7 linked regions of the Sus scrofa genome follow. The protein of the gene in region 7 purifies or fractionates together with the protein of the main gene of each other region. This does not show direct contact. Links are inferred from orthologs where the notes say so. Each region holds a gene or a part of one and is shown on either strand. Other genes may lie near its edges.

Evidence for each region.
Region 1: the proteins of SNRPB2 (region 7) and SF3B4 purify together in Homo sapiens (affinity purification with mass spectrometry; 4 studies listed by BioGRID and IntAct, with this or other methods). This does not show direct contact. The link is inferred for Sus scrofa from reciprocal best matches to the Homo sapiens genes SNRPB2 and SF3B4.
Region 2: the proteins of SNRPB2 (region 7) and PHF5A purify together in Homo sapiens (affinity purification with mass spectrometry; 4 studies listed by BioGRID and IntAct, with this or other methods). This does not show direct contact. The link is inferred for Sus scrofa from reciprocal best matches to the Homo sapiens genes SNRPB2 and PHF5A.
Region 3: the proteins of SNRPB2 (region 7) and SF3B5 purify together in Homo sapiens (affinity purification with mass spectrometry; 3 studies listed by BioGRID and IntAct, with this or other methods). This does not show direct contact. The link is inferred for Sus scrofa from reciprocal best matches to the Homo sapiens genes SNRPB2 and SF3B5.
Region 4: the proteins of SNRPB2 (region 7) and SNRPD1 purify together in Homo sapiens (affinity purification with mass spectrometry; 3 studies listed by BioGRID and IntAct, with this or other methods). This does not show direct contact. The link is inferred for Sus scrofa from reciprocal best matches to the Homo sapiens genes SNRPB2 and SNRPD1.
Region 5: the proteins of SNRPB2 (region 7) and GEMIN5 purify together in Homo sapiens (co-immunoprecipitation; 3 studies listed by BioGRID and IntAct, with this or other methods). This does not show direct contact. The link is inferred for Sus scrofa from reciprocal best matches to the Homo sapiens genes SNRPB2 and GEMIN5.
Region 6: the proteins of SNRPB2 (region 7) and SNRPD2 purify together in Homo sapiens (affinity purification with mass spectrometry; 3 studies listed by BioGRID and IntAct, with this or other methods). This does not show direct contact. The link is inferred for Sus scrofa from reciprocal best matches to the Homo sapiens genes SNRPB2 and SNRPD2.

The regions. Positions count from the first base shown.
Region 1 is NC_010446.5:99,122,017-99,126,678, reverse strand, and holds the start of SF3B4 (splicing factor 3B subunit 4), read right to left. Parts: upstream 3,116-4,662; 5' UTR 3,022-3,115; coding exon 2,988-3,021; intron 2,509-2,987; coding exon 2,380-2,508; intron 1,844-2,379; coding exon 1,301-1,843; intron 719-1,300; coding exon 512-718; intron 1-511. UniProt on the Homo sapiens protein: Component of the 17S U2 SnRNP complex of the spliceosome, a large ribonucleoprotein complex that removes introns from transcribed pre-mRNAs.
Region 2 is NC_010447.5:7,069,681-7,074,261, reverse strand, and holds the start of PHF5A (PHD finger-like domain-containing protein 5A), read right to left. Parts: upstream 3,118-4,581; 5' UTR 2,752-3,117; coding exon 2,700-2,751; intron 2,283-2,699; coding exon 2,259-2,282; intron 1,764-2,258; coding exon 1,597-1,763; intron 390-1,596; coding exon of another isoform or gene 345-389; exon of another isoform or gene 192-344; intron 1-191.
Region 3 is NC_010443.5:21,229,619-21,232,657, reverse strand, and holds SF3B5 (splicing factor 3B subunit 5), read right to left. Parts: upstream 1,395-3,039; 5' UTR 1,251-1,394; coding exon 990-1,250; 3' UTR 970-989; intron 861-969; 3' UTR 644-860; downstream 1-643. UniProt on the Homo sapiens protein: Component of the 17S U2 SnRNP complex of the spliceosome, a large ribonucleoprotein complex that removes introns from transcribed pre-mRNAs.
Region 4 is NC_010448.4:106,796,556-106,801,332, reverse strand, and holds the start of SNRPD1 (small nuclear ribonucleoprotein Sm D1), read right to left. Parts: upstream 3,133-4,777; 5' UTR 2,989-3,132; coding exon 2,975-2,988; exon of another isoform or gene 2,954-2,974; intron 2,743-2,953; exon of another isoform or gene 2,668-2,742; intron 1-2,667. UniProt on the Homo sapiens protein: Plays a role in pre-mRNA splicing as a core component of the spliceosomal U1, U2, U4 and U5 small nuclear ribonucleoproteins (snRNPs), the building blocks of the spliceosome.
Region 5 is NC_010458.4:68,316,913-68,320,919, reverse strand, and holds part of GEMIN5 (gem-associated protein 5), read right to left. Parts: intron 3,629-4,007; coding exon 3,509-3,628; intron 3,004-3,508; coding exon 2,793-3,003; intron 1,073-2,792; coding exon 818-1,072; intron 1-817. UniProt on the Homo sapiens protein: The SMN complex catalyzes the assembly of small nuclear ribonucleoproteins (snRNPs), the building blocks of the spliceosome, and thereby plays an important role in the splicing of cellular pre-mRNAs.
Region 6 is NC_010448.4:52,039,402-52,044,107, forward strand, and holds the start of SNRPD2 (small nuclear ribonucleoprotein Sm D2), read right to left. Parts: upstream 3,074-4,706; 5' UTR 3,000-3,073; coding exon 2,998-2,999; exon of another isoform or gene 2,099-2,997; coding exon of another isoform or gene 2,031-2,098; intron 1,602-2,030; coding exon 1,422-1,601; intron 1-1,421. Other genes in the region: QPCTL (glutaminyl-peptide cyclotransferase-like protein), read left to right, coding at 3,831-4,040, 4,528-4,671. UniProt on the Homo sapiens protein: Plays a role in pre-mRNA splicing as a core component of the spliceosomal U1, U2, U4 and U5 small nuclear ribonucleoproteins (snRNPs), the building blocks of the spliceosome.
Region 7 is NC_010459.5:25,370,509-25,373,890, reverse strand, and holds the end of SNRPB2 (uncharacterized protein LOC768116), read right to left. Parts: intron 2,895-3,382; coding exon 2,844-2,894; intron 1,546-2,843; coding exon 1,457-1,545; intron 971-1,456; coding exon 811-970; downstream 1-810. UniProt on the Homo sapiens protein: Involved in pre-mRNA splicing as component of the spliceosome. Associated with sn-RNP U2, where it contributes to the binding of stem loop IV of U2 snRNA.

The sequences.
Region 1 (4,662 bases), on a different chromosome or scaffold from region 7:
TAAAGGTTAAGAAAACAAAACCCAGCAAGTATAGTTATACTCTTCGGTAAAACTTTAAGAAATGAAAACAGGCTGATAGTTGTTAAAGTAAACAGGCTAAAGTATTTTGTGTTTGTTTCTATAAAAGAATGTCTGGGAGTTCCCGTCGTGGCGCAGTGGTTAACGAATCTGACTAGGAACCATGAGGTTGCGGGTTCAATCCCTGCCCTTGCTCAGTGGGTTAACGATCTGGCGTTGCCGTGAGCTGTGGTGTAGGTTGCAGACGTGGCTCGGATCCCGCGTTGCTGTGGCTCTGGCGTAGGCTGGTGGCTACAGCTCCGATTCGACCCCTAGCCTGGGAACCTCCATATGCCGCGGGAGCGGCCCAAGAAATAGCAAAAAGACAAAAAAAAAAAAATGTCTGGAAGAAAGGAATGTCTAAAGAAAGGGACTCTCTATTATTGTTGAAGGACAGAGAACAGCAGCATAACTGGTGAAAGAATCCCTCTCCTTCCCAGCAAAGAAAACCCACCTGGATGGGGCATCCCACCCGGTGGGAATGGGTGAGGATGTGAGTGTCCATGTGCAGGATGTCCAGCCCCTGGGGTTCCTGCTGATGGAGGGCCATGTCCTCCAGCCCCAGGAGGCATAGGTGGTGGGGGCATGGCTGGGGGTATCCCAGGTGGAAGGGCTCCAGGAGGCGGTACTGGGGGTGGGAAAGAGCCAGGAGGAGGCATGCCTGTAGAGAAAATAGAAAAAGAGTTCATGATAGTGAGAAGAGAGTACCTTTAGGGGGCCTGTTCCAATCTGGCCTCTAGGCAAGATGAGTTCTTTTCCCCTCCTTCCAGCTCTCTAAAGTCAGAAGCAACTTAGACAACTTCAAAATTCTAGAACAGGAGTTCCTGTCATGGTGCAGTGGTTAACAAATCTGACTAGGAACCATGAGCTTTCGGGTTCGGTCCCTGCCCTTGCTCAGTGGGTTAAGGATCTAGCGTTGCCATGAGCTGTGGTGTAGGTCGAAGATGTGGCTCAGATCCCACGTTGCTGTGGCTCTGGTGTAGGCCGGTGGCTACAGCTCCGATTAGACCCCTAGCCTGGGAACCACCACATGCCATGGGAGTGGCTCTAGAAAAGGCAAAAAGACAAAAAACAAAAAAAAATGCTAGAACAATTCAACAATGTTCTTCTCACTGCATCCATTACCTCTCAACCCCTTTCTCATCACCTACTGACTCAATGTCCCCTCCTTTCCAGGTTCTTTTTCCTTCTTCCTGCCCTCCCCCCAATTTAAGACAAACATATTCTGAATAGAAAGCTCTACCTGGTGGAGGAAGCCCAGACCCCAGTGATGATACCACAGGATTTGGAGCAGACGGTGGAGGGGGGGCATCTGCAAAGAGCTGATGAGGGCGGTCAGCCTGGGAGAGTGGGTTCTGTGCTGCCAGAAGTCGTTCAGCTGCTGAGCCATGGCGCTCACCCTTGGAGTCCTTCTTGAAGGCATAGGACACAGTGATTGGGCGGTTACAGAGGTACTGCCCATTCATGGCCTCAATTGCTGCATCCGAAGCATCAAATGAAGCAAAATTAATAAAGGCATAACCTTTGGAGTTGCCTGTGTCAGGGTCCCGCATTATCTTGGGGGTTTGTAAGATGACCCCAAAGGCGCTAAAAGTATCATAAAGCAACTTCTCATCAATTTCTGGGTCCAGGTTTCCAATGAAAATGTTGGCTCCCACATCCAGGTTTTTGTTGTGAGCTGATGCCTTGTTCACCCGTATCGGCTTCCCATAGAGTTTGATCATGTTCATGATCTTAATGGCATAGTCAGCATCTTCCTCACTTAAGAACTCCACGAAACCATAGCCTAGGGAAATGGAAAAGAAGAGTTAACTTAAGTGAAGCGATTCAAAATGAGGTATAACTCACCTTCTAAAGTACAAAGAACAAGAAAAAATAATCCTACTTCAACTGAGAATGGTTCCAGAAACAAACTGAGTTTAAGAGAAAGAAAACTTTAGCTTGCTTATTCCAAACAGTTGTGAATACTGCCGGGACCTTCCAGGAGCAGTTTGTTTCCTCAAAACATAACTGCACTTCTTGGGAGTTCCCGTCGTGGCTCAGTGGTTAGCGAATCCGACTAGGAACCATGAGGTTGTGGGTTCGATCCCTGCCCTTGCTCAGTGGGTTAAGGATCCGGCGTTGCCAGTGAGCTGTGGTGTAGGTTGCAGACGCCGCTCGGATCCCACCTTGCTGTGGCTCTGGCATAGGCCAGTGGCTACAGCTCCGATTCAACCCCTAACCTGGGAACCTCCATATGCCGCGGGAGCGGCCCTAGAAATGACAAAAAGACCAAAAAATAAATTAAATGAAAAATAACTGCACTTCTTGCCATGTACTCACCTTGATGCTGACCAGTGACTCTATCCTTTGGCATGTGGGTGTTGACTACTGGCCCTGCCTGGAGAAACAGTTCCCACAGCAGTGGTTCGCTAACTTTCTCATCGAGGCCCCCCACGTACACAGTGGCATCTGGAGGACAGGGTTAGGAGGTTAGGACAGAGATGAGAGGAAATAAGGAGGTGACGGGAACATGAAGTCGGAACCCAGGCGGTGGAGTTGCGGGTGGAGATGGGGTATTGGAGCAAAGAGAAAAAGAAAAGAAAAAAAAAAAAAAAAAAAAAAAAAGACGTTAGCTTATACCCCTACACCGCCCTCCATTCCAGGTAATACAAAATCTTCTTAAATATAATTTAAAGTTCTGGCGCACATTCTCTTTGTAATTTTTTGTGTGCGTGAGTGGGAAGGCAGCAGGGGATGGGACATAGACAACATCACACCTACAGGCCTCAGCCTCTGGGCACCCGTCCATCCCGCCCCAGCAGGCATCAGGCCGGTCTAGCGCCTTTTGGGATGCTCCAATCTCCCGCCCTGGCGGAAACACTGCTGGCTGTAACCCGAGATCCCCCAAACTCCCCTGGGCCCATCCCGGACTTGTGCCCTCCACTCACCCTGATTCCGCTCGGAGATCGGCCCAGCAGCCATGGCGAAAGACCTCCCGCCGTCTCCAGGCAGCGATACCGCCTCCTGACCGCAGTACTACTTCCACTTCCGGGGCGAAGGCGGACGTAGAGGCGGTGGGCGGGGCCTATGCAGGGGAGGAGCCGGAAGCGGCCGCGGCCATTTTAGGAGCCGCTGAGACTTGAAGTGATTGGTGTTACCGTGTTCCGCGGTCTTTGGTTTTGTGTTGAAGTGCCGCTCTGACAGGTTAGGGCGGGGAACGCGGATCGGAATCTCTCAAACGCCCTAAGGCAGTGCTTGAAGTTAAAGGATCACGCTGCTCCCAAAAATGTCAATTCAGGAGCTAAGAGAACAATATTTTTCGTATATTTTGTGGCCTCCTTTGATTCCCAGAGAAGGGTCTTCTGCCCAAGGCGTGGAGGCAGCTGTCCACCCCGGCCCGCAGCCTTTGGACAGATGGGGCCCCATAGTCCTGGCCTGGGCTTTCATTTTTCCTCAGGGAAGGGATTGCGGAATGTCTGAGCTGGAGTGACGTTGAGCTTGCCTAGTCAGTATTGCATTGGGGGTGACGGGAACCAGAGGCTCAGAGATGGGAGTGTGTGTGACCAGCGCTGAAGAGTGGTTAACACTGAAGTCCAGAGGCTTTGGTCTCAACCCCCAGAGCACACCCCAGCCCCAACAACAACGTCTGGGTCTGTTTTTGCCACATCAGCACCACAGGGAGAACCCAAACTATGAATTCTGCAGAGCTTCACCTGAACCATCCCCTTATTTCCTTAGCAGTAATTCGGTCTGTATCTTCCTCTCTTGAGTCACACCATCACTATCTTACCTAGGTTCCTTTATTCAGACACAAGAAACAATGCCAGCAGTGTGTATAAATACTGTGATTTAATGAACTCCTTAAATAGAAATGCCGTTACAAAAATATACAATTGGAAAAGACTGGGTGTCTCCCATAGCCACACCACACCCAGAGAAAACTTTAAGGGAAGAAATAGAAATTGGAATCAAAGGAGCAGCAGGGGGAGGTGAGAAGGAGGTCTGTAGGCCATCTTGTTGGCACTGACAAATTGTTTCTCTGACCTCACAATTTACCAGCTCAGTATCCAAAATTTCCATCCAAAAGGGTTGGAATGCATGAAAAAAGGGCAATCATATTCCGGATTGGTTTTGTTGGTTTTGTTTCTTTAATTCTTCAGGTCACAAGAAACTATTTAAACCAAGAAGGATAGGGTAAGAGTTGGATAAGGTTAGCCACCTATCAGCTATGGAAACTCAAGTCAGTGAGCTTGTTTAAAGGCTGGCATATGAAAGCTGAGGGAGTAAAACCAGATAAGATTTGAAGGATTAGACAGAATTCTCCCTCACCCCAGACCACTCTCTGCCCCGCCCATGAGAGAGCCAGCAATTTCAGTGGGATTGGGAAAGAATGGTATTTGGATCTCTTTTCTTGGAGTGATCCTCAGGAGATATTCTTGGTGTCCATTTCCTTAATAACTCCTGAAGATGGGATAGCTCATCCTGGAGGCCAGCGATTGTGGGAGCTGAGAGGCCCATCTGGGGAGGGGGTGAAGAGAGGCAGAGAGGACTATTATTGCAGCTCTAGCTCTGCTTCTAAGTTCTGTCTGCTACTTCTGGCATCCTTAATTCTTTCCTACTCCA
Region 2 (4,581 bases), on a different chromosome or scaffold from region 7:
AAACACAAAAACCAAGCTTCTTTCTGTAAAGGGAGTGTAATCTACCTGGTGGATCAGATCAAACAGGTATGATATGACAATCAAAAGTAAACACAAATCAGAGTTTAGGACAGGAGAATGTTCACATCACCAAGGGAAAATTTGTCTTTGGTACTTTATGATCTTTCTCATCTCCCTAAATAAGAGAAGACTTAATGGTGTAAAAAAAAAGTTTTATTTGGTGTGACATGTCCCACTTATTAAAGGTAGACAGGATCCAAATGTAAAGATTGCTGAGTTGCTTCTCGTCAACCAGGCACATCCCACCAAAAGGACCATAAGGTGTATTGCAGCTATCACCAGGTTTAGACAGACAGCCGGGGCTTGCCCCTTATTAGCTGCAGGACAGACTGTAAAAGGGGGATAGTAATAATCCCTATTTAACAAAGTTACTGTGAAGAATATGGAAGATAATACCCACATAGAAACTACCTATTCTTTGCACAAGGAAAAATTAAGAAATATTTTATCTCATGCCTTATCCTAGATTAGGTAACCAGATACCTTATAATAAATAGTCTACTGGTACTATATCACATTTCCTTTTATTTATTGTGTCATATGAATAAAAGCTGATTAACCTCCCCTACCCCAAGCCTGCTTTTGGAATAGATCTACAAGCCCTCTATCCTGGCTCAAAGAGTTGAATAAATAGCCACTGGCACCGGAGTTCCCGTCGTGGTGCAGTGGTTAACGAATCTGACTAGGAACCATGAGGATGCGGGTTCGATCCCTGCCCTTGCTCAGTGGGTTAAGGATCCGGCGTTGCCACGAGCTGTGGTGTAGGTTGCAGAGGCGGCTCGGATCCTGCGTTGCTGTGGCTCTGGCGTAGGCCAGTGGCTACAGCTCCGATTTGACCCCTAGCCTGGGAACTTCCATATGCCACGGGAGCGGCACAAAGAAATAGCAAAAAAAAAAAAAAAAAAAAGCCACTGGCACCAAAAAAATGTCAAGGGGCAAAAATGCCATGAGCAAGAATTACAATCAATTCTGCAAAATCAACCAAAGGCACTCTCTAGCCACTCAGAGCTGAAATGAACTTGAACTGTCCCAAATTCAAAAGTCATCACATCCACCCTAACGTTCCTTAATGGTAGCACAAATTAGTGACTTCTGCACATCATGCACTGTGGTATGATTTAAAAATGCAGCATAGTTTCTGGGGGGAAAAAAAAAAAGAGAGAGAAAGTTCCTTTGTGGTGCAGTAGGTTAAGGATCTGGCATTGCCGTAGCTGTGGCACAGGCCACAACAGCAGCATGGTTCATCCCTGGCCTGGGAGCGTCCACATGTGGACACAGCCAAAAAAAAAAAAAAAGAGAGAGAGAAAGACATCAAATTGCCAGTGTTGACAAAAATTTGCTTTTCTCGCCTTTGTGTACTTGATGCAAAATAACTACCTTTTGTTGGAGTACACCCAGTTTGGTTTACAGAACTTGAAAATTATAACCTAGGTGACTGGCTGAACAGCCATCTCCTGACCATAGGAGTCTGCTGTGGATGGCCAAGTGTTCCTAAACGAAAGGAAAGATCAGAGGAAAAGCTTAGTATACACTCACATCCTTCTCCTGGATGGTGCACTCCTTACAATAATAGGCATCTGAAACTCCCGGGCCTCCGCAGATCACACAGCGCCCCTGGTAAGAGCCATAGTTACACTCGTCACATATGCGCACCAGGGTGCAGGGACGCACGTAGGAGTCACAGATCACACACTTGCCATCACCTGTAAGGAAAAGAGGTTGAATTACGCCCACTTGCAAGTACCTCAGGTCCTCTTCCTGCTATGGGTAAAAACACTATGTCCTTCTGACAGTGACTTTAGCCCTCTATTTTGGCATTATAAAATTGGTTTACCTAGCGTCCATTTCTCAATCTCCCCAACACATAGGAAAGCTAATCAATTAATATAAAGGGCTTAGAATAGCAGTCGGTAGATAAGTCTATATAATTGACTGGCAGAATGCTGTGTGTGTTGGGGGCAGGGTCATGCTACTTCTGGTCCAAAGCTAGAGGTTTTGTCAAAACCTAAATACAGTGCCTAAAATGTACAAGTTGGAGCGGGAAGGTGGCCTTTAGTTGCAGTCTGGCTTTGTATTAACATGCTTCCAATCATGTCTATCCAAAGCCCTCTTCGTGGCACCGCTGAAAATGTCCGTTGCTGCCACTATAGAAGCTGAGTGGGAGGGGTGGGCTGTTTGGAGAAGCGTGTTCCACTCACATTTTTCACACAGTCTTCCAATGGCTGCAAGATCAAAGGTGATAAAGAGTACAATTAGGATTAAGGTTTAGAAGAGGGGACAAAAGCCTCGAGCTTGAGTTGGGGACAGGTACAGGGTCTGCAGTGAGCCCTGAGAGGTCTTAACCATCGTATTCTCATAAACTTCAATCCGAACCAAATCCGCACCCTCGTAAGACCTCCCAGGTCCTGGGAAAACTGAGAATTTCTCTATCTCCGCAGCCCCTCTCCAGCTCTCAGCACGCGCGCCCCCGCCCCCCTTTCATCTGAGCCCACAAACCCACGCGCTCCTACACTACCGGCGGCGAGGCGGGAAACGGGGCGCCTCCGAAGCAACACCCTAAAGGAGTAATGGGAACCCCGGACTCTTAAGGTCCTAATACCATCCCCACCCAAACAGCCGGGGGCAGAAGACCGTCTCACCAACACCAGCCTGCTTGCGGCAAAAAATCAAGTCCGGGTGATGCTTAGCCATCGCTCGCGCTCAAACCACCGGAAGCTTAGGGAGCTTCCGCCAGACCTTTAACCCTGATTGTTCCTGCCTCCTCGTCGCCCTGATTGGTTCTCTAGGCGTCCATCAGCGTTTGCAATCTTTGCACCAAGCCCCGCTCATTCTCGCGTGATCAAAGCACTTAAATTCCGAAGACGAATTCCCGTTGGCAGTGGGGGAGTCAGGTCTTGGTAGGGGTGTGCGGGTCATTTAGGGAAAAAAAAAAAAAAAAACTTTCCCAGATTTGAATGGGAGGGACAAGTTGCAGAGCGCAAAGACGAAATTTGCACTTTGATATCTTTGTGCCGGGTATTTACTACCCCAACTTTTTAGGCAGCTCTCTCCCAATTCCCAGGTTGACTCTGGAGCTCCGCCCACGTCGCTCGCGGGAACGCCTTCAGCGTGACGCGTTTCTCCTCAGGTCACGCCCCTCACCGAAGGCCTTAAATAAGCCGCGTGTCACGTCACTTTCAAGCGACCTCATCTTTGTCAGTGCACAAAATGGCGCCTTACAGCCTACTGGTGACCCGGCTGCAGGTGAGCGAACCGAGAGCCCTCTAGGTTTACGGGGGCGGGGTACCTCTTTTGCGCTTGCGGCTATGGGCAAGGCAAGGCGAGGCGGGCCTGACCTCCGGCCGACTTTTCGCGTACCTGTCCCTTGCGCGGGCCCAGCGCAAATACCCGCTCCTCTGGCGCCCGAGGTCAGGGCGTCCCCGGCTCAGTCAGCTCTCAGCCCTGTCCCCGCCCCGCTGGAAGCAAGGGCCTAAGAAGCGGCGGCCGGGTGAAGAGTGGAGGCACGTCTTTCTCATTTTTGAGGACCGCAGTTTCTTCCCCCGTAAGGCTTTTTTTTTTTTTTTTTTTTTTCCTCCCCCGTTCCTCAAGGTGAGGACAAGGTGACTGGGGGGCGCGGTGGTTGGTAAGCGCGCTAGGCCCAGAGCCTGAAGGCCTCACTTTTCATCTCAGTAGCACAGAGTTGCTAGCCAGGTGCATCTACGGTTGCCAAACATGGAGTCTGTAGGGGGGGAAAAAAAAAAAACTATGACCTATTCCATCTTGTGGGGATCCTGCGGAACATGTACCCAAGAATTCGAGGGGGTGGGTTCCGTGCCCAGATGTAGCAAATAGTAATGATGACAGTAGTCTCTCAGCTTTGCACAAGATTGCAAGACTTAATTCCTCACCACATCGTTTGATTCATATCATCATTTCTGGAGATGATTATTTTTATTTGATAGGTGATGACGCTGTTAGAAAACAGGTAAAAGTTCTGCTCTCTGAGTCTTACCAAAGTGCTGTGGCCTGAGCATCTGCCCTACTACTCCCCATTCTCCTTGTCCCTTTCAGCCTGCCCTCACAGAACTTTTTGAGCCAGAGTGTGGTCCTGGAGCTGACATTTGTATTTGTGGGAGTTCCAGAATGGCGTATTTTGAGCTCACAATCAGTTGCTTTTCAGTTACTAGATGGGGAGGGTAAAAGAGACTCAACAGTTTGACCTTGACTGTCCTCTTTTGAACCATCTAGAAGATTGACTGACTGCCATTTCTTTTTTTTTCACTCCTGACTTGACAACCCTAGGAAGATGTTACACTCAAAGGTTCAATGTCAAGAACGTATTTCGTTAATAAAAAATCAAGCAAGCATTCTCCGACAACCTTTTACATTTAAATTTGTGAATCTACATTGGATCAAGTAGCACAACTATTATTGCAGAATTTAAAAAGAAGTAGTGTACTGTACTCTCAGAAAGTATTGTGTTGTCAGAAGTTTTTTTTTTTTTTTTTAAAGTTACATTGCTAAAATTTAAACCATATGGTT
Region 3 (3,039 bases), on a different chromosome or scaffold from region 7:
AAAGCCGGATCATTAACCCACTCAGTGAGGTCAGGGACCAAACCTGCATCCTCATGGATCCTAGTCAGATTGTTTCCGCTGAGCCAGGATGGGAACTCCTGAGCATTCTACTTAAAACTGCAACCCTACTGCTACTCTCATTCTCCACAGCACCCTCCAACATGTGCTTGCTTATGTCTGCAAATTTTGTGGTCTTCTGCTCCCCCAACCAGTGTAATATAGGTCCTTAAAGCCTGCCACATAAAATTCAACACGTATTTGCTGAATGAATTTAAGAACTAATTTGACAGTTTGTCAATACTCAAGATATGTCCACGTATTTCCAAAAGAAAGAGGTGTAATCTACAGAGAGAAGGCAAAGCGAGTCAAGATTTTTTTTTTTTGTATGAAAGAAAAAGGACACAGTGATCACAAACCTCAATAGTGAATGTGTTAAGGGCCTGAGAAAAGTTCCTGGGAGAAGTCAGGGTTGGAGAATATTATAAAGAGCGTATTTAAGTGTCTGGCAACGAACTTTGGCCCTGTGCTACTGTTGAACCCCTCCCCAACCCTTCCCTTCTTTATACCCCCCGCCACCCGGCAAACCACAGTCCCAGAGCCCTCCTTGGCCCCTCCACCAGAACACAAGTAGTCCACACCAAGAGACCGAAACATTTCTAAACTTTATAGAAAAAGCAACGAAGACAGTCAACTAGCCAAAAACGAGCCTCTTAATCCCATCTCACTCCAGCCATATCTCCTCTAACGTCTGCAGACTTTAGGATCTCTCCACTGTTCAGTTTCTCAGGGGTTATGACGGGTCTCCCAACACTTTGTTCCACAGGAAGGCAGGTCGGACGGAACGCCCCGGGTAAGGACCTCTGTACAAAGAAAGCACGAAAAGCAGAGCTATGAAGAATCCGTCCACTTGGGAGAGGAACCCGCGGGAATGACGACAAACCGGAGGAACGCAGAGAGGTGCTCACGTACAGCGGTGAGACGGTGAGGTCTCAGTTCTCCTCCGGTTTGTCGGCGGGCGGGCCGCAAGGCTGCAGCATCTTCTCCATCAAGTTGAAGCGGACTCGCGCTTTGCTCTCATTCTCGGCAATGGCGAAGTAGTTGAGAAGGTCGAAGTGGCCCATGTAGGAGCAATAGGAGTCGCGGTGCTGGTTCACCAGCCACTCCCATTTGGTGGTGTCGGCGTGGCCGGTGCCGATGTATTTGGACTGCAGATGCTCTAACTGGCTGTGGATGGTGTAGCGGTCTGTCATCTCGTTGCTTTTTCCTTTGCTCGCAGGTCAGAAGCCGCAGACGAGAAGAAGCCGCTCTAAGGTTTCAAGCCGGAGAGGAGCCACCCGCCGGAACCTCTGTACACGCGCGGCCGCAGGTGGATGGCGTCACAGCGACAAAGCAGCGCGACTCGCGGTCCCCGGCCTCCCAGGCGGAAGTGTATTCTGTCACGGAATTGGAGTTGCCTCGGCAACGCTACCAGTGGGCCTTCCCTATAGAGAGCCCCGCCTCCTTCGCAGAGCGTTGCATGCTGGTCCATCTAGCGGCCCTTTTCTAACAGGAGCTTTGCATGCTGGGACTTGTGGTTTCCGAGGGTTGGTTCGCAGAGACTTCTTGGGACCTCTGTGTGTGGGTTTGAGAGACTGAATGGACTGCGGTGTTTGGGAGGCAGGAAGCATCCTCGGGCGGATGGGGGGCCGAGAGGAAGTGGGAAACAAGTAGTACAAGGCTGTAAGCAACTGGGGAAAGGAGCTCTTTGTGCAATTCCGCTTTCGGAGCTACAGAGGGTACAGTAGCCGTTTCACAACCAGGGGTGGATCACCCTGAAGTCAGGAAACTCAAGGTCTGACCCCAGCCATGTCTCTTACAAGTTGTGTGGAAACTTCTTTCATCGCTTGCGGGGCCGCCGTTTCCCGCCTAGTGACCTAAGTACAGCACCAGTTCCGACACATTCAGGCCCCCACAACAGGCTCCTCCTTTTGAGCTTCTAATTTTGACATCCTCCCAACAAGTTTCACCCCACCTACAGGCCCTCAGCCTCTACTTCTCAAACGTTCCCGTGCTGCTCTCTCCAGTTCTCTGTACGAGCTGTTCCATCTGCGTGGAATGCTTTTGTTCCCCTGGCAAACACTTCTCCCTTTTAAGTCAGCTCGAAAGTATCTCCCTGAAATTGACTTTGGCTACTCCAGACAGATGTAAATTCTTTTCATCCTGTACATCTCTTTGTTATTATCACTTTATATCCAGTTTTTGGTTTAAGAACTTCCCCACACGAATACAAACTACTTGAGAAAAACTACTTTTTTGATGATGTCTTTTTTTTTTTTTGAGGGTGAGACATCTATCTACTTGATCTATTTGTAGCATGAAATCCACAAAGAAAACCCCAAAATGCGAAGTTCAATAAATTCAAATAGTAATATTTTTAAAAATATTAATGAAAAAGAGATGATGTCTTGTATCATATGCTTCTGTTATGCTAGCCACAGAGCCTCGCAGAGATTGTTTCTCAAAAAACATCTGATGAATGGATTAAAAAAACCTGTATGACGGCCAAATAAATTCTTTACTGGGAGAAAGATAACTTTAAAGTATCTTTATTCTGGTATAAAGTTACGGTTAGATAGGACTAGTAAGTTTAGAGCTCTATAGTTAACTATAGTTAATACTGTATCAATACTAAAAATTGTGAGGAGGTGAATATGTTAATTAGTTTGTGGTACCATTTTATTGTGTATATGTATATCAAATCATGTTGCACCTCTTAAATATATATAATTTTTATTAAAAAATTTTAGTGGTAAAACAGTTCCCTCTGGGATCAAATGCCTGTACCAAAAATTGGAAAAAAAAAAAAAAACTTCCCCCTTAAGTGTGAACTTGGTTATAACAAATATTTCATTTCTGAAACATAGAGGTTATTATAAGGCATACCTGTGGATTTACCATCCAGATATATCATACCTTGCCATTTTGCCATTTTCATTTCCAAGTTTGTTATTTTATTTTGGTTTTCATTTTTGAAAGAAATAAAGCTATACAAATAAACTC
Region 4 (4,777 bases), on a different chromosome or scaffold from region 7:
AGCTTGGATTCCAGTCGCTGTGGCTGGAATTCAGATACGTCCCATAGCCTGGGAACTTCCGTATGTCATGGATGCAGTCCTAAAAAGACCAAAAAAAAATTTTTTTAATATAAATAAAAAACAAAAATTAAAAAATCAAGATAACAGGATAGTGAGATACTTTATTAAACAGGTTAAAAACACCAAAACCTGGCAATTTATCACATTATCAGGATTACTGAGAGAGCTAAGTCAAGGAGTTCCCCTCACGGCTTAGCGGTTAGTGAACCCAACTAGCATCGCTGGCCTTGCTGTAGGTTAAGGATCTGGCGTTGCCATGAGCTGTGGTATAGGTCACAGACGCAGCTCAGATCCTATGTTGCTGTGGCTGTGGAACAGGCCATTGGCTATAGCTCAGACTGGATCCCTAGCAAACTAGTTATACAAAACCCATTTTCCCAGTGCAAAATACATTCTCCAATTATTAGGAATTTTGCTTCTATAGTCTAAGACACAGAATAGGATTCAGTACAGCATTAATATTTATAGGAGGAGTTCCTGTCGTGGTGCAGTGGTTAACGAACACGACTAGGAACCATGAGGTTTCGGGTTCAATCTCTGGCCTCACTCAGTGGATTAAGGATCTGGTGTTGCCATAAGCTGTGGTGTAGATCACAGATGCGGCTTGGATCCCAAGTTGCTGTGGCTCTGTCGTAGGCCGGTGGCTACATCTATGATTAGACTTGGGAACCTCCATATGCCGAAGGTGCGGCCCCAGAAAAGACCAAAAAAAAAAAAAAAAAAAAAAAAAAATTTTATAGGAAAATTCTGTCACAACATGGACTATCGTTAAGTGGGACAAAAGACTCCAAAGAGTATTATCTATACTAAGACTCTGACTGGCAAGTATTCAGACATTAAGAAAATAAACTTTAGGAGTTCCTGTCGGGATACAGCTACAATGAATCCGACTAGGAACCATGAGGTTGTAGGTTCAATCCCTGGCCTCGATCAGTGTGTTAAGGATCTGGCGTTGCCATGAGCTGTGGTGTGGACTGCAGACATGGCTGGATCTGGCGTTGCTGTGGCTGTGGCGTAGGCTGGCATCTGTTGCTCTGATTAGACCCCTAACCTGGGAACTTCCATATGCCGTGGATGTGACCCTAAAAAAAAGAAAAAAAAATAAACTTTAAGTTCTGAGATGTTTACCTTCAAAGTTATACCTCAAATAAAATGGACAAAGTCTTTCAGTTATAAGTAAGAACTAGAAATGTAATATGCAATATGATAAATGTAATCAATACTGCTGTATGTTATATATTAAAGTTGTTGAGAGTAAATCATGAGTTCTCATCAGAAGAAAAAAAATTTTTTTGTCTATTTCTTTAATTTTATATCTACATGAGATGATGGATGTTCACTACACTCTTTATGATGTACGTAAATCAAATCATTATGCTGTGGGAGTTCCCTCGTGGTGCAGCTGGTCAATAAAGAAAGAATCCAGTGTTGTCATTGCAGCCTTGGGTTGCTGCTATGGCACAGGTTCGATACCTGGCCTGGGAACTTCCACATGCCTTTGGCACGGCCAAAAAAAATCATTATGTTATATACCTTAAAGTTACACAATGCTGAAAGCCAGTTACATCTCAATAAAACTGGAAGGGAAAAAAATAGACAAAAAGTCAATCTTAAATGCCTTCTCTACAAACACCAGCCTGAATATGACAATGAGGATTCTTTATGTTATCTCAAACTATCTTCTTGTCTATCTTCTCTGCAAAACGAACGCTACTACAACATAGGACTCTTTAAGGGGGGGGTGGGCTACTGCTGTAGCACAACTGGGATTCTTGGCGTCTCTGGAGCACTGGGATGCAGGTTCGATCCCCAGTTCAATCCCCACCGGCACAGTCCAGCATTGCTGCAGTTGCCGAGTAGGTTGCAAATGCAGCTAGGATGTGTTCCCTGGTCCAAGAACTCCATGTGCTTAACTATTTGGTCGACATTGACAATTCTTGACTCAACAGACAATAAACTAGTTAAGCTAGTTTATAACTGCCGGCTGAGTTGTAAAAGCCTCTGCTTCTATGTTCCAGGCTCTCAGCCTCAAGGAGAAACATCAGAACTCAATCTATTTGCAGGTAGTTTTTGTGATGAATTAGCTCAACCAGTAAACGAGTCTTCAGCAGGCTCAACTAATCGACCAAATTTAAATACAGAAATAAACAGAATAAATCTCGATTATCTGTGTAATCAGCCAAAAAGTACGGAAGAGTGATTCTACCCCATATTGAGAGGTTTTTTCCTAAATCAAAGGGCTATTTTAAAGGGAAATGTAAGTTGAATAATCTTAAGGCTAGGGAATAACAACAAGAGGGAAAAAAAACACTATTAAAAAAAAAAAAAACCTCAGGAAATCAGAAGTCCATCCCTGATCCCTGATTTAAAATACTTCGGAATTGGATTTCATTATCTCCAGATAAACCCCTGCAGCTTCTAAGTACTCTTTTAAGTGTGACGGTAGTTTCATTAAAAAATATGCATTAATTTAAACTACTTGTGCAGGATGTACAATTTTTATGTCTCCCACGTTCTCAGGAAGCGTGGACCTAGTTAAATTTGCCGGTTCCTGAGTGCTGAGACGAGCCAGAAACGTTCTAACAGAAACGGAAGTCTGTAACTCACCGAAAGTAAGAGCTTGTAAGCCTGGCTCTGTACTTTTAAGGCCTCTAAGACACCTGATGGGAAAACACCGCCCGGCCTTCAACCTCTCGGAAGACCCGCAGATCCCTGGGCGACCCAGTCTGAAGCCTGGTCGAGTGCCCGCGGCGACGCGACCAAGATGGGGCGGGAGCGGCGGGCGCCGAAGGCCGTTAGCAGGCCGCGCGCGCACGCGGCTTTCGCGCCTCCTGCATCTCGGGCAGCTCAACCCCCCCGCTCCCGGTCCAGGACATCCCCTCATAGTACCCACCCTGCTCGGTCACCTCCTCACCTCACGAGCTTCATCCTCTCGGTCCGATAGTACACAAAACCCCACCGCAGAGGCCGACCCGCAGGGAGAATGAATGACCGGAAACGCTTACTCCCGGGGATCGACGTAAAGAGCGCGCGGATCCCTGCGCACTCACGGCGGAAACGCCGAGGCTGCGCTTGGGCCACTCTCCCTTCCGGCCGCGAGTAGCGCCAGTGCGGCCTCTGGCGGCAGGAGGTGTGCCTTGCAACTGTTAAGGGCGTTTAGGGCCGATCCAGGAGGAAACTTCCTGTAAGAGAGAGTATTTCAGGAAATTAAATCCTATTAGCGAGCATAACAAGGCTCCGGGTATTATGTAGCACCAAATTTTCTCGTGAATGAAAGGAAATAATTGGAGAATCCCAAAGGATTATGCTCCACCACCAGGTATCTCAGCGTTACTTAATGTGCTGAAGAAAATCATACAATTTAACTGATTATTTTCACTTTAAATTCTGGTCACAAACCTCAAAAGTGTCCCTTGCACTGCCCAGAGATCGTTATGCTTCTCTAATAAGCTCACAAAGTATTTCATACCTTCTTTCTTCTCTTTATCTCAAACCTTTTACAGTTCTTCTCCCAAATCACTCTCTAACGTATCCTACTTTTAGAAAACAGAAGCCATCCTTCTGCTTCCCTTTCTGTGACAACGATAGAAGTATTATTGCTCCTTTGGAAAGCAAATTCCTCTTGGTTGTAGTCTGGATCCCATCTCATTTCCTCAAGAATTTCACTCCTTCAATGATCCCCTTCTAATTTGAATCATCAATTCCTCCTTCTCTACTGATTTTTTCTATCAACATATAAATTTATCTAAAAAACAAACAAGCAACGAGTTCCCACTGTGGCGCAACAGGATTGGGCAGCATCTCTGCAGCTCCAGGACGCGGGTTTGATGTCCAGCCCTGCATTGCTACAGCTGGCTGTAGTGTGGGTTCCAACTGTAGGTTGGATCTGATTCCTGGTCTGGGAACTCCATATGCCTCGGAGATGGCCAAAAATGGAAAAAGAAAAAAAGGAAAGGAAGAAAGAAAAAATTTTGTAGTGCCAGTTGTGGGAACTCGGCAGGGTAAGAACCTGACTAGTATTCATGAGGATGTGGGATCTATCCCTGGCCTCATTCAGTGGGTTACGGCTCCAGTGTTGCCACAAGCTGCAGCGTAGTTCACAGATGCAGCTCAGATCCAGTGTTGCCGTAGCTGTAGTGTAGGCCTCAGCTGCAGCTCTGATTCAAGCTTCCATTTGCTGCAGGTGAGGTCTTAAAAAAAAAAAATTCTCCTCTCATGCAGCTCTAGCTCCCACCAGATTTCTTCCACAGAAAACCTCCTTAAATGAGCTGTCTATAACTTGTTTTTATTGCCTTGTAATTCGATCTTCAAATACACTGAGATTGCTTTTCTAATGGTGATCAAAAACCCAATACAAACTTCTGTCTTCCTCTTACTCAGCATCTCAGCAGCATTCAAAACAGACACTCTCCTTTGAAACATGCTCCTTTCTTGGCTTCCAGGATGCCAAGTATGCCTGGTTTTAATTCAATCTCACTAATGACTCTTTCTAGGTCTCCTTAGGCTGCCTCATTGTCTCCTGAGCCATTACATGCTGGAGTGCTTCTTGGCTTACCCTCAGCGTAGTCTCTTCATGGATACTTTCTCCTTTAGCCTAGGTGATCTCCCAAACCACAGCTTTAATATGTATCTCAGGACTTCATCCCTGGTCATCAGAATTCTTGAATGTTGTGAGGCAATGCTCATCAAACATTAATGTGCATAAAAAAAAATGGAG
Region 5 (4,007 bases), on a different chromosome or scaffold from region 7:
CTATCTAGACAGTGGGGTTGCTGGGTCATCATGCACATGGATGCTTAATTCTAAGAAACTGCCACACTGTTTTCCAAAGTGCTGTACCATCTGAGGACATCTCATTCCTCAAAAACATGAGTGTTCTCTCATCAAAAGAAAAACTGGGTAAACTGAGGTTGTCTTCATAGGATGGGTATAGGAGCTATAATGAATCAACCTATTCTCTGTGCAAAAACATGGACAAGTTTTACAGACAGGGGTCACATAAACAAGCCACATAATAATGCACATGGTCTGACGCAAGGGCTGTTTTTGGTAAGCCAGGGAAAGGGAACGAAACTGGGCAAGGGAACATGAGGGACTTCAAGCTGATTTTGTTTCTTTTACCAAAGACAAAAAGAATATACAAAACAAAACTAAAAAACTCCATGAAGCAAAAATGACAAAATGTGAACATCTGTTAATTCTAATTGATAGGTACTTATTCATTGTATTCCTCTTCATTTTTAGACTTTTTTTTTTTTTTCTTTTAAAAGGGAATACAGCTCTAAGACTAACTTCCAAAATAAAGGGTTTTAATTAGTCTGAAGGGATCTCTCCAAGGTTTCTTGGGCTTGCCTTAGTTTTTTTTTTTTTTATTTTTTATTTTCCCACTGTACAGCAAGGGGGTCAGGTTATCCTTACATGTATACATTGCAATTACAGTTTTTCCCCCAGTTTTTTTTTTTTGTAGAATGCAAACTGGCATTTTACATGTTGCCTTGTTGTACTAGACGTGGATTAAAGAAGTCTTACTCCTGAGAGGTTAGTATCAAAAGCTCACGTGCAGGGGTACCTGTTTGGAGGGGGTGTTATTGGTAGCAGATGGGTACTTGATATTTTGCAGCTGCTGAAGGGCTGCCTGGTACTGCTCTGGGGAGTCGAGGCTGAAGGCGCTCTTCCATACTGCGGTCACCCTTTCCACGAAGCACCCTTCGCTGCCCGAGGGCCAAGCATTGTAAGAGGAGGAGGCGCTTTTGCCCTCCGAAAGCTGCTTTTCCTCTAGCTGCTTGGACAGCAGCTCCAGAAGGCAGAACACCAATCTCTGACCCTGGAACCAACAACAAAGGAGAGGAACTGTCAGGCAGGGAAGTGCTCAGTTATCTGGAGATTTCTCCAGTCTCTCAGTCTCCCTCTTTGCATTTGAGCAACCACAGACAATTTTTCCAGATGCCTTTTGAAAGATTCCTACCCAGAGCCCTTGGAGCTTAAGCAACCATATTTACAACATGAAATCCCAACTATAGCCCTATTCACCGAAACTTAAGCCACATGCAGCCCAGCTACCTACGACTTGTGGCCCAGTTTGAGCCAAGAGGGGGTGGACTCATCCAGTTTTTTCCCCTTGCCCAAACCTCAGATTAAGGAATACAGAAGTTAAAGCTTAACAGGCAGAAGGTGCTGGAACAGACAAGTTGTGTAGCTCTAAGGGCCGGGGCAGTGGTTAGGGGCCATGTCCAAGGAGGTTTAACCGAGGGAGTCAACTAGAAGAGAACAAAAGCAGAGAAAAGGCCTGGAGAAATACTTATTTTTACTGGATTTTCAGTTGCCATGAGATTCCTTGTGTACCCCCATAATATTTTCTCAGTTAAGCTTGGGAAGGTCTTTGTTCTTATAGCCAAAACAGCCCTTAGCAGAACAATGTTTAGCATAAACTTAGGTTTTTTTGCTTTATTAAGGTTGCCATTTTAGGGGAGAAAAAAAAGAAGTGCCAAATAACCACTCTGGAAACTTTTTTTTGTTATGGTTATCTCTCTAAATTTGGTCACTTTATAAATAATATACTAACCGACACTATCCTTTGAGGGTGTTCTACTTTTACCTCCATTTTTTATTTTGCAGTTCCCAGAAAGCTACGCCTCGCCTAACATTTTTCTTGGGTAAGGAATATTCAGCTAGGAACTCGGGTCTTTAGGCTGAGTACTGAAGGGAAAGAGGAACTGAAGAAATTCACATATTGCCTGACAAGCAAAGCTGTCTAAAATGGACCAGATGTTTACATGTTTTAAAAACTAGGTGAGGGAGTTCCCATCGTGGCGCAGTGGTTAACGAATCCGACTAGGAACCATGAGGTTGCGGGTTCGATCCCTGCCCTTGCCCCGTGGGTTAACGATCCGGCGTTGCCGTGAGCTGTGGTGTAGATTGCAGACACGTCTTGGATCCCGAGTTGTTGTGGCTCTGGCGTAGGCTGGCAGCTACAGCTCCGATTAGACCCCTAGCCTGGGAACCCTCCCATATGCCGCGGGAGCGGCCCAAGAAATGGCAAAAAGACAAAAAAAAAACCTAGATGAGTGTGCTGATGCTTTTAAAACAATCTGAATTTTGATGTGTCAAAAAGGACAGTGGTTATTTAAGTTACTCATTTTTAACCAGATGGAACAGAATACTTAACACAATGGTTTGATTTCCCCCAATTCGTTACAGCTTACAGTTGAAGAGGGCTGCTTTGGGCAGAGCACCAGCCAGCCTCTCTCTTCACTGATGTGCTGATGACATCAATGACGGGAGGCCAGACTGCCAGCCCAGAGAGGCTGAGCTGCTAAGCAATGGCGATACCTTTCAGGGACCACATTATCCCTTTCTCTGAGTCGGGTAAGGGAGAAGCCACAGTTCTTAAAGGGGCGCTGCATGGCCAGGACTTGCTGGACGCTTCTGGGGATAGCTGCCAAATTGGTACAGCTTGTCCAATTGGGTAATTCACTCAGACTCTGACTAGAAAAGGACTTGGGGCTCTTCCCTCTTAAAAGCAGGAGAGGCAGTAACAGACTGACCTTGAGACTTTCGTGGAGCTGCAGGGCTTCCTGGGCTCCCACCCAGTTCCTGGCCATAAGCAGCTCTTGGGCACATCTGAGAGCCAGGGAAGCAGACAACTCACTCTCTCCTACGATGGAAGCCAACTCTGCAGCGGTTCTAAGTGATGCCGCGTCCCCCTTTTTGGCCAAGACTTTGGCTGCGTCATAAGCCGAAGTGGCCCCTAAATAGCTGAAATACAAAAGAAAACTCAAGCCAAGGGTCATAGACAGATCTCTTACTCCTGCTTCATAGCGGGTTGAATCATTTCTTTCTGTCCACTTTGCTAGCGTGCTTTGCCGTGGTCCCGGTTGTGGCACTGCCTGTGGCTGTCCCTGTGAAGCCTGAGGCCAGCGCAGAAGGGAATGAGGCAGCATAATACAGGTTAAGGAGATAAAAGAAACCTCAACAGTTGCCAAGTTGAGCATAAGCAAAGAAGTCATTCCCTCTCATTTTCCACACTTAATGATAGAAGACATCCCCAAAGAAAGGTGTAATTTCTTGGACAGTTATGGTCATTTATATAAATGCCAAGTAGGTAGACCTTGATGAGTCTTATGAAGCTGGGTTTAACACACATATGCTTTTTAATTTGCTGGTCACCTTACCCCACCTCTAAACTCCTCGCTTCCATTCTTGTCCTGCTCTCTGTGGAACCTCTTCTTTTTGGGCGCCCTCCTCTTTGCCTCAGACTTACCATTTGGCTGCTAAGGCATAATGACCGTCTTTTTCTAGGATGGCTCCCCAGCTGAGGTACAGGTCTCTCAGGATTGGGTCCTCTGGGCGCAGCCGGGCCTTGGCAATGGCAATGGCCTCCCTAGAGGCAAGAATAGGCAATTAGCCAATCTGAAAAGGCTCCTCTGTAAGAGACCCTCAGAAGGGCTGCAGGGCAGGATAAACTGTCTCTTTTATGTTGTCTGTCTTGTTCTAATTTCCCATAAAAAACAGTATTCCTGTATTGAACGGCAGGTTAAAACCATGTGCTGCATTCGGTTTTTTCCTAGGTCAGCAGTTCTTAAAAGTGTGGTCTGTGGATTCCTGGGCATCCCGAAGGCCCTTTTAGGAGGTTCATGAGGTCAAAACTATTTCCATAATAATGTCAAGAGGTTATTTGCTATTTCTTATTTGTACTGATAATGCAAAAGCAATGGTTGGTAAACTGCTGGCATCTGAGCAAGAATCCAGATAGTGGCCCC
Region 6 (4,706 bases), on a different chromosome or scaffold from region 7:
CAAAAGCAATCCAGAGGTAAGCTTCACCCCCCTGCCGAGAGGAAAGCACTTCCCTGATGCTGAGGACTGCCAATGGTTTTTTGCTGTTGTTGTTATTTTGGTTTTTTTGTCTTTTTCGGGCAGCATCTGTGGCATATGAAAGTTCCAGACTAGGGGTTGAATCGGAGCTGTAACCACTGGCCTACACCACAGCCGCAGCAACCCCAGATCCAAGCCACTTCTGTGACCTACATCACAGCTCATGGCAATGCCGGATCCTTTAACCCACTGAGCAAGGCCAGGGATCGAACCTGCGCCCTCATGAATGCTAGTAGGGATCATTTACCGCTGAGCCACAAAGGGAACTCCTGCCGATCATATGTTTACTGAGCCTTTGCCACATGTTAGGTACTGAGTTAAGTGCTCTTCCTACAGAAAATCATTTGACCCTTACGACTGTTCTGAGGGGTATTATTCTATGCATAGTATTTTGCAGATAAGGAAACTGAGGCCCAGAGAGGAAAAATCACTTGCTGCTCCCCATGGCTGAAACATGCAGACCCTAGGTTGCACCTTCGTTTTATCCCCATCTGTCCACCTAGAAGGCCTCCTGCATGACCCACCGAGGACAGCAGCACTCCCTCTCCACACTCCAAACTCTCAGCTGGCTCTACTCTTCTGCACAGACTTTGCCATCACTTGTCTTCCTGACACATTATGTGTTTGCTGTAGACTCCCCTGAGTACAGGAGGCATGTATGATTCAGTCACCATGGCATCTCTGGAGCCTAAGACAGTACCCCACAAGGGCAGAGGCCACTGTGCACGAACTGAGAAAACTGATGAGGAAGACCGTGTGCCGGGGGCGCTACTCCTAAGGACTGACTGTGCTTCACATATATTAAGTGACTGAATCTTTGCAACCATCAAGATTACGGCCATTGTAGGGAAGAGATATATGGTCCCTTGCTGAATGTCACACGGCTGCTAAGAGGCAGAGCCAGGACATCATTCCAGGACTGGCCCCCAAGTCCATGGCTGAACTTTACAGCTGGAGGAACAACAGAGACCGTCACAACAGGCACTCTTTTTTTTAAGCCCACACCGGAAGCATATGGAGGTTCCCAGGCTAGGGTTCAAATCGGAGCTACCGCTGCCGGCCTACACCACAACCACAGACATGGGATCTGAGCCACACCTGCGACCTACACCACAGCTCACTGCAATGCCGGATCCTTAACCCACTGAGGAAGGCCAAGGATCGAACCTGTGTCCTCATGGATACTGGTTGGGTTCGTTAACCACTGAGACATGACAGGAACCCCACCTTCAGACGCTTATGCCCCAGGCTTCTAAGAAACCTAGAATCCAGGCTCCTCAGACTAGAGCTGGGACTGCTTCTCCAGGCCAGGACAGACCACCTCCCCAGACCCAGGTGCTCACCTGTCAAAGGCCTTCACGCGGCCCAGGAGCTTCTTGTTGTTGCGGCAGTTGATGAGCACTTGGGTGTTGTTCTTGACCGACTGTGTGAGCACGGACAGCGGCCCCGTGTTAAACTCCTCCTCCTCCCGCTTCTGCAGCTCCTCTGGCGTCATCTCACTCTTGGGCTTGTTGAGGAGGCTCCTGAGTGGGCAAGTATGGAACTCATAGGTGACAGGGCCTGGAGCCAGAGCCTGGGTGGTCATGCCCTCTCGCTCACTGTCTCCCCAACACACCCACCCTCCGGCTCAGTCCTCTCTCTTAGCATCACCACACAGCTGCCTAATAGACAGTTCCAAGCTTGCACGTCCTAGGCTGAACACCAGGCCCCGCGGTACCCCCAAACTTAATCTACCTACAGCTGCCTTCGTCTCCATCCATGGCAACTCCATCTTGCTATGTCTTTGAGCAAAACCTCTAACGTCAACTTGACTCTTCTTACTCTCACATCCTACATTCAATCTGCTGGCAAATCCCATCATCCCTGCCTCTCAAATATATCGGAATCTGACCACTTCTCACCATGGCTTAACCTCCATCGACTCTCTCCTAGAGCCGTAATGGTCTCCCTACCTCCACCCATGCTCTCCAAGTTTGCTCTTCACAGAGCAGTCTCTGGTTGGTGCCAAGGTCCAAGTCATATCATCTCACTCTGCGAAACTCTCTTGAGGCTCCTATCTCAATGTAGAAAGTAAAAACCCTTTATCCGCTGCCTTCTCTCACTCCGTTCCATCCAGAGGGGTGTCTTGGAAGATTTTCAGCAACTTTCTTCTTAGGCTTCTGCATTTGCTTTTCCCCCTTTACCTGGATACGTCCCTAAATATCTTTGTGCGCTCACTTTCTCCAGCTTTCTGCTCCAGTTGCTCCCTTCTTCATGTGTCCTGTCTCTCAAAACTGGCATTCCACATTGTTTTACCCTGCTCTACTGTTTCTTCATTCATAGCCCCGGTCACCTAACACACCATATATTTTACCTTTACATTTATTGCCTGGCTCAACCCAACCCATAAAATGCAAAATGGAATTTTTTCCCTTGGGGGAGTGGGGTAATTCACTAACATATTCTGTGTCTAAAGAAGCCTGACATATGAACACTCAATAAATAATTGTTGCATGAATACGTAAGTAAAATCCTTCCGATAACTCGAGACCCATGATAACGACGAATAAGGTCAAAAGGCTAACCGTCTCCAGCTCAAATTACCCTGATAAGATCCTCACTTCAAATCGTTCTTCCCCACATGTCCGTACTCCCCTCTCCCAGGTTCCATTTTCGTACATCGCTTCCCCTTAACATTCGCTTCAGTAAGACTAATTATTTGGGAAAGCCCAGCCCGTTATCTGATAAAGCTGCTCCTGCTCCTAAAGTCAGGATCCGAAAAAGGCCCCACATCTGTTCTCAAACTCATCGGTAACGTACGCCACTTTACCCCGAAAATGTTTGCTTCCGCCCCAGGCTCTGCCCACCCCCTTCCACCGGCAAGTGGCCAGATTTACACCCTCAACCCACTCCTGCCACCTAAGCCTAGCCCGGCCTCACATGGCGGTGGCAGTAGTTGTCGCGACCGCGCACTCCAGTCACCACCGTCTCCGCGTTGCTTCTTCGCCCTCTGAAAGGAGCGAGAAGGGCGGGACTTCCGCTTCCTGAGGCCCACTTCCGTGGGCGCTTGCGCAAACACAGCTAGTGGGTGGGGCGTGGCCTGTTGCCATAGCGATCTCTGCTCGCCACAGGCGGCTGTAGGGTAAAACTCTTACGTACTACTTTGAGGCCATTCAGGACTGTACCGGGCAGATATTGACGATGGAGAGGAAGAGAAAGCAGGACTTATTCAAACCATTTCGTTGTAGAACCGCACAGGTTGAAGGAGGGAAAGGACAAGCCATTTCCAAATGCCCGCCGGCCCTGCCTTCGGGGGCGCGGCATCCACGAAGCCAATCGGCTCCTCGCTTCAGGGATGGATACCTCCTCTTCTACTTAGGGGACCGTCCGTTTATGTGTTTGTTAATCCTTTGGACTTGGAATAACCAATCCTTTGCTTACATCCGGGAGGGGCGTGGACCCGCGCCCAGGAGGTCGGCTGTTTTCTAGGATCAAATGCTTCTCATTGGCTTCCCCTCTTCCGCTGAGGCGGTGCCTACCTCTTTCGCGCTCCCTTTTGGGTTGTGCAACCCTCAGGGGAACCAACCCTTAAGCTTCAGGGAGACAGGGAGGCGTGTCCTCAGTACGAAAGTCCCCATTGGCTTTACTGCTTGCTGAAGGGTGGGTTGGTGCAGCCGCTCTTGTTGCTTATTGGTCCGGTGATTCCATGGGGTGGGACTTGGCTGGCCTAAACTCCATCCGCAGTCCCCGACCGGTTTCAGGGCGAAGCTGCCATGCGTTCAGGGGGCCGCGGGCGGCCCCGGCTACGGCTTGGGGAACGCGGCCTTTTGGAGCCACCCTCACCGCCCAAGCGCCGCCTGCTACCGCGGGCGCAGCTGTTGCCCCTGCTGTTGCTGGCGCTGGCGGTGGCCTCGGTGTTCTATACCATTTGGAGCGGCTGGCACCGCCAGACTGAGGAGCTGCCTCTGGGCCGGGAGATGCGGGTGAGGCCGGACGGGGACAGGGGAGCCCTTATTCCCCGCCTCCCCCTCCTCAAAGTCTCAGGTTGACGTGGCTTTATCGTTATCGTGGGGCCCTAGCCGCAGGTGCCGCGATCTTCGTCGTTAGAGCGCATGCCCCTTTCCAATGCAATGAGGCTTCGGGCTTTTTCTATAATAGCGGTTGCACCGTAAGAGGAAGGGTCTGGAGTAGTAAGCCTGGGAGTTCTGGGTTCTAATCCTAAAGTCAGCTGTTTGGAAGTCTCTTCCTCTCGTTGGGCTTCGATTTCTCCCATCAGGATTGCGGTGGGCTATACCGGATGGGCTTGGGTAGACTTTCCCGAGTCTAGGATTTATCCTAGAAACCTCTGATGCTGGAATCTGCCATTAGGAAGAGGAGCCGGGGCTTTTTAGGGATGACAGCCCCCGGGGTAGAGTTGAAATGAGGGTGCTTTTCACGCTCTGCTCTTCTCTTTCCCACCTCTTTCCCAAGGGTCCGGGGCTCGGAAGCCTCCCCGAAGCCGGGCTTCGGAGGGTGGTGGGGCGACTGGACCCGCACCGTCTCTGGCACACTTATCTGCGCCCCCTGCTGGTTGTGCGGACCCCGGGCAGTCCGGGCAATCTCCAAGTCAGAAAGGTAAAGGGCCCCACCTCCAATCCCTGACCCCGCAG
Region 7 (3,382 bases):
ACTAAAAATCCTTCCTCAGAAGGTCATTCAATAAAGAGGTTAGGTTATTACCTGAGCAGGTATTTCTCAGAACCATCTTGCCTCAAGAGGGTAAGCGCATACAATGTGAAGTTTGAAGACAATTCTCTTTCTGTCTGTTTTCCCAGAAAACAATAAATACAGTCACTTCTAAACAGCCTTGACTCAATTAAAAACTGAATGAAAGGATTTGTGAAATGTTGACTGCCAACAAAATCCTAGCTATGCTCAATGATTTGAAGAACAAGAAATTTAGATCCTGCCCAGGTCTCATTTTCTTCTAATCTCCAGGATGATCATTTTGCCATTAATAAAAGTCAATTTTTTTAAAAAAGAGAGAGAGAAAAAAAGAATGAACTCTAGGATGGCAGTTCATACGCATAAGAAATAACATTACAGAAAATCTAATCAACTGTTTGATCTAACTCTACTTTTATTAACATGGTTCCATGCTTCTCTACCATTAGCTGCTTAAAATAACACTAGAAAAGATCCCTGTTAGTTTTATATACCCTTAGCATGTGTTCTAGACTAGCACTAGCATGCGATGATGGGACAGTGGGCCCATAAATGAAATATTACATACAAAATACAAATAAATGTTTATTGGGCAAAATTAAGGCCTTTGCAGTTCACAGTTCACTGAGGCTAACCAAAGACTAGGTAATTTTTTAAATCCTTTACAAAAATTTCACATACACATCCCCACTCCCCCAATAAAATGGCCTGACCAAACATTATCAAAACAAACACCATAAATACCAAGTCCTTTAAAGACAACTATCCCAAATGTTATTTTTTGGCATAAGTGATCTTCATGGCATGGGATGGTGTGATCTTAAAGCCCTGTAAAGCATCCCTGGCAGCTCCAGCCTGTCCATCGTTTTCAAATTCAACAAAAGCAATGTCATGCCTCCCAGGTACCAAACGTACTTCCTTGAAACCAGGGAACCTATAAGGAAGAAAAGCCATTTTTATATATGGAAACAATGTATACATATATAGATACAGAAATGACATCAAATACACAAATGTCTATTCGTGTTTAAGTTTGTTAAGCAACACCCTGATATTAGTCCACAAAAAGTATCATATCCACCAAGAATCCTGAGCAGGAGGAAAGAGCCTGAAATGTAATTAATAGCATGAGAAGAATGGCAGGAATCATGTAAACTAATTCTGGTTTTGTCATTTCATCAAAGCTTTGTTTCCTGTTTTACTCATCAAATAGCATTAATAATTCAAGCATTAGAGGTAATTTAGCTTTTTCGTTTGCTAAACCTGCTAAATGGTTTCAATTCGTGATTAATCCTGGAGCAAATCAATGAAGCTGTAAGAATTACTGCCACATGACACACAAATGGATTCAACCCAGGGAAGAGGTAGATGTCCTGTCAGAAGGCTCTCGGAACACAGACTTATTTATGAAAACACTTACTGATTAAACAGCATGGATAGCATCATCTCATTAGTCTCTTCCGGTAAATTATTAAGGAATAAAATATAGTTTGGAGGATAATCAGGGACCTATAAAAAGAAAAGGCAAAGCTAGCTTAGAAGTATAAAAAGCATGGTAAGCCATTTAGCTCTCACATTAAAATCTAAACTTCAGAGAACAACTTTCCACTGTTTAAGGCTTGTGAAATCTTACTACATCAAACACTAAGCTGAAAAACAATGACACCAGAGAAATAAACAAAAACCTAACAGTGACTAAACAAGTCACTTAATACAAATTTAGAAAATTATAAATCTTAAGAACGGTTTTTAACAGTACTTAAAACAATATTTAAGTTAAAACATCTGGAGGTCAGTTAGAATTGGAGGATTTTGTCTTCTGGATTACATGACCAATCCTAACGAAACTAGATAAGGCAGAGATGTCACCCACCCTCAGGTACTCAAACCCTCTGCACTACTGCTTACTACTTCCCGGTGTGTTAGAACATAGGGAAACAGAATGATTTCTACTTAGAACCACTACTTGGTGATTTTTAATGTTTTCTGCAAATCAATGAGATATACATGGCATCTAGTTACATACAAATAAGTAGAAACGGACACTGTTATTAGATATTAAACTAAATTATTTGCTACCTGATCCCAAGGATACAGGGAATCATAGCAAAAGGTTCTTATATATAAGAGCCCCCATCTTCGGGTTAATTTCATGGAAGAAAGATGAAATGTAAAGAACTTAGGGCTCAGAAAATTAAGTGCTGGCATTTGTGCACTGAACTGTAACTGCTGAAAGACTACAAAGAAGTAGATAAGCAATTCCCTAGATGTAAGGATCCTGTCAGACTCTAGCACCCAAGGGACCACATGGGAAACTGTTAGTCCATGACCGAGGCTTTCTCTTGAGGCCTTTATTGGGAAGACCTGGTAACGAGTTTCTAAAACACCTGTATCAGGAGACTTAAAAATATCTGTGCTGAGGAAACAAGAGCAAAGGAAACTGTAAAACAATTTGGCTCTATTAGAAAAGATGGGTTAGTGCCTTAGCCAACTCAACCCAAGGCACAAGTCTGGAAAGCTCTGGGCCACATACTGTGGAAAAACATCAATTTTCCTCCTTGCCTTCACAGAGCTTAGAAGCTGTCATTTTGACTCTGTTATTGATTCATTGTGCAGAGTAAGGAATAAAGAAAATTAGAATGTTTTGAGGAGTGAGTTTCCACATTAAAGTGGTATATAATTTAATGTACTGTGGCTTAGAGATGGAATAATTTTCGGTTTTGGAAGACATGCAGGTTGTTGTATATTTCTGTCACTGTTTTATAATTTTATTTTAAAATAAGTATCACATGGAAAAATAATATTACCTGAGGATTTGGTGTTGCATTTCCTTGGGTATTAGCCGAATTTGGTGTTCCCTAAGCCAAAAAAAATAAGAGAAAGTTACAATTTCCAACCCTTCTAAAAAAACCCAGCACGGAGTTCCTGTCGTGGCTCAATGGTCAATGAATCCGACTAGGAACCATGAGGTTGAGGGTTCGATCCCCGGCCTTGCTCAGTGGGTTAAGGATCCGGCGTTGCCATGAGCTGTGGTGTGGGTTGCAGACGCGGCTCGGATCCCACATTGCTGTGGCTGTGGTGTACGTCAGCAGCTACAGCTCTGATTAGACCCATGGCCTGGGAACCTCTGTAGGCCGCAGGAAGCGGCCCTAGAAAAGGCAAAAAGACAAAAAAAACCCCAAAAACCCCAGCAGATATTTACATTTATAATTACTGCATAAAAGTATGATTAACAGATTTTTTTATTCTACCTTACTTTTGCTGCAAATTTACATTTCAAAAACTCACTCAAACATTTATGTATAGTAGAATATTTTTGAAAGGTCTAGCCCTAACTTTAGACTAT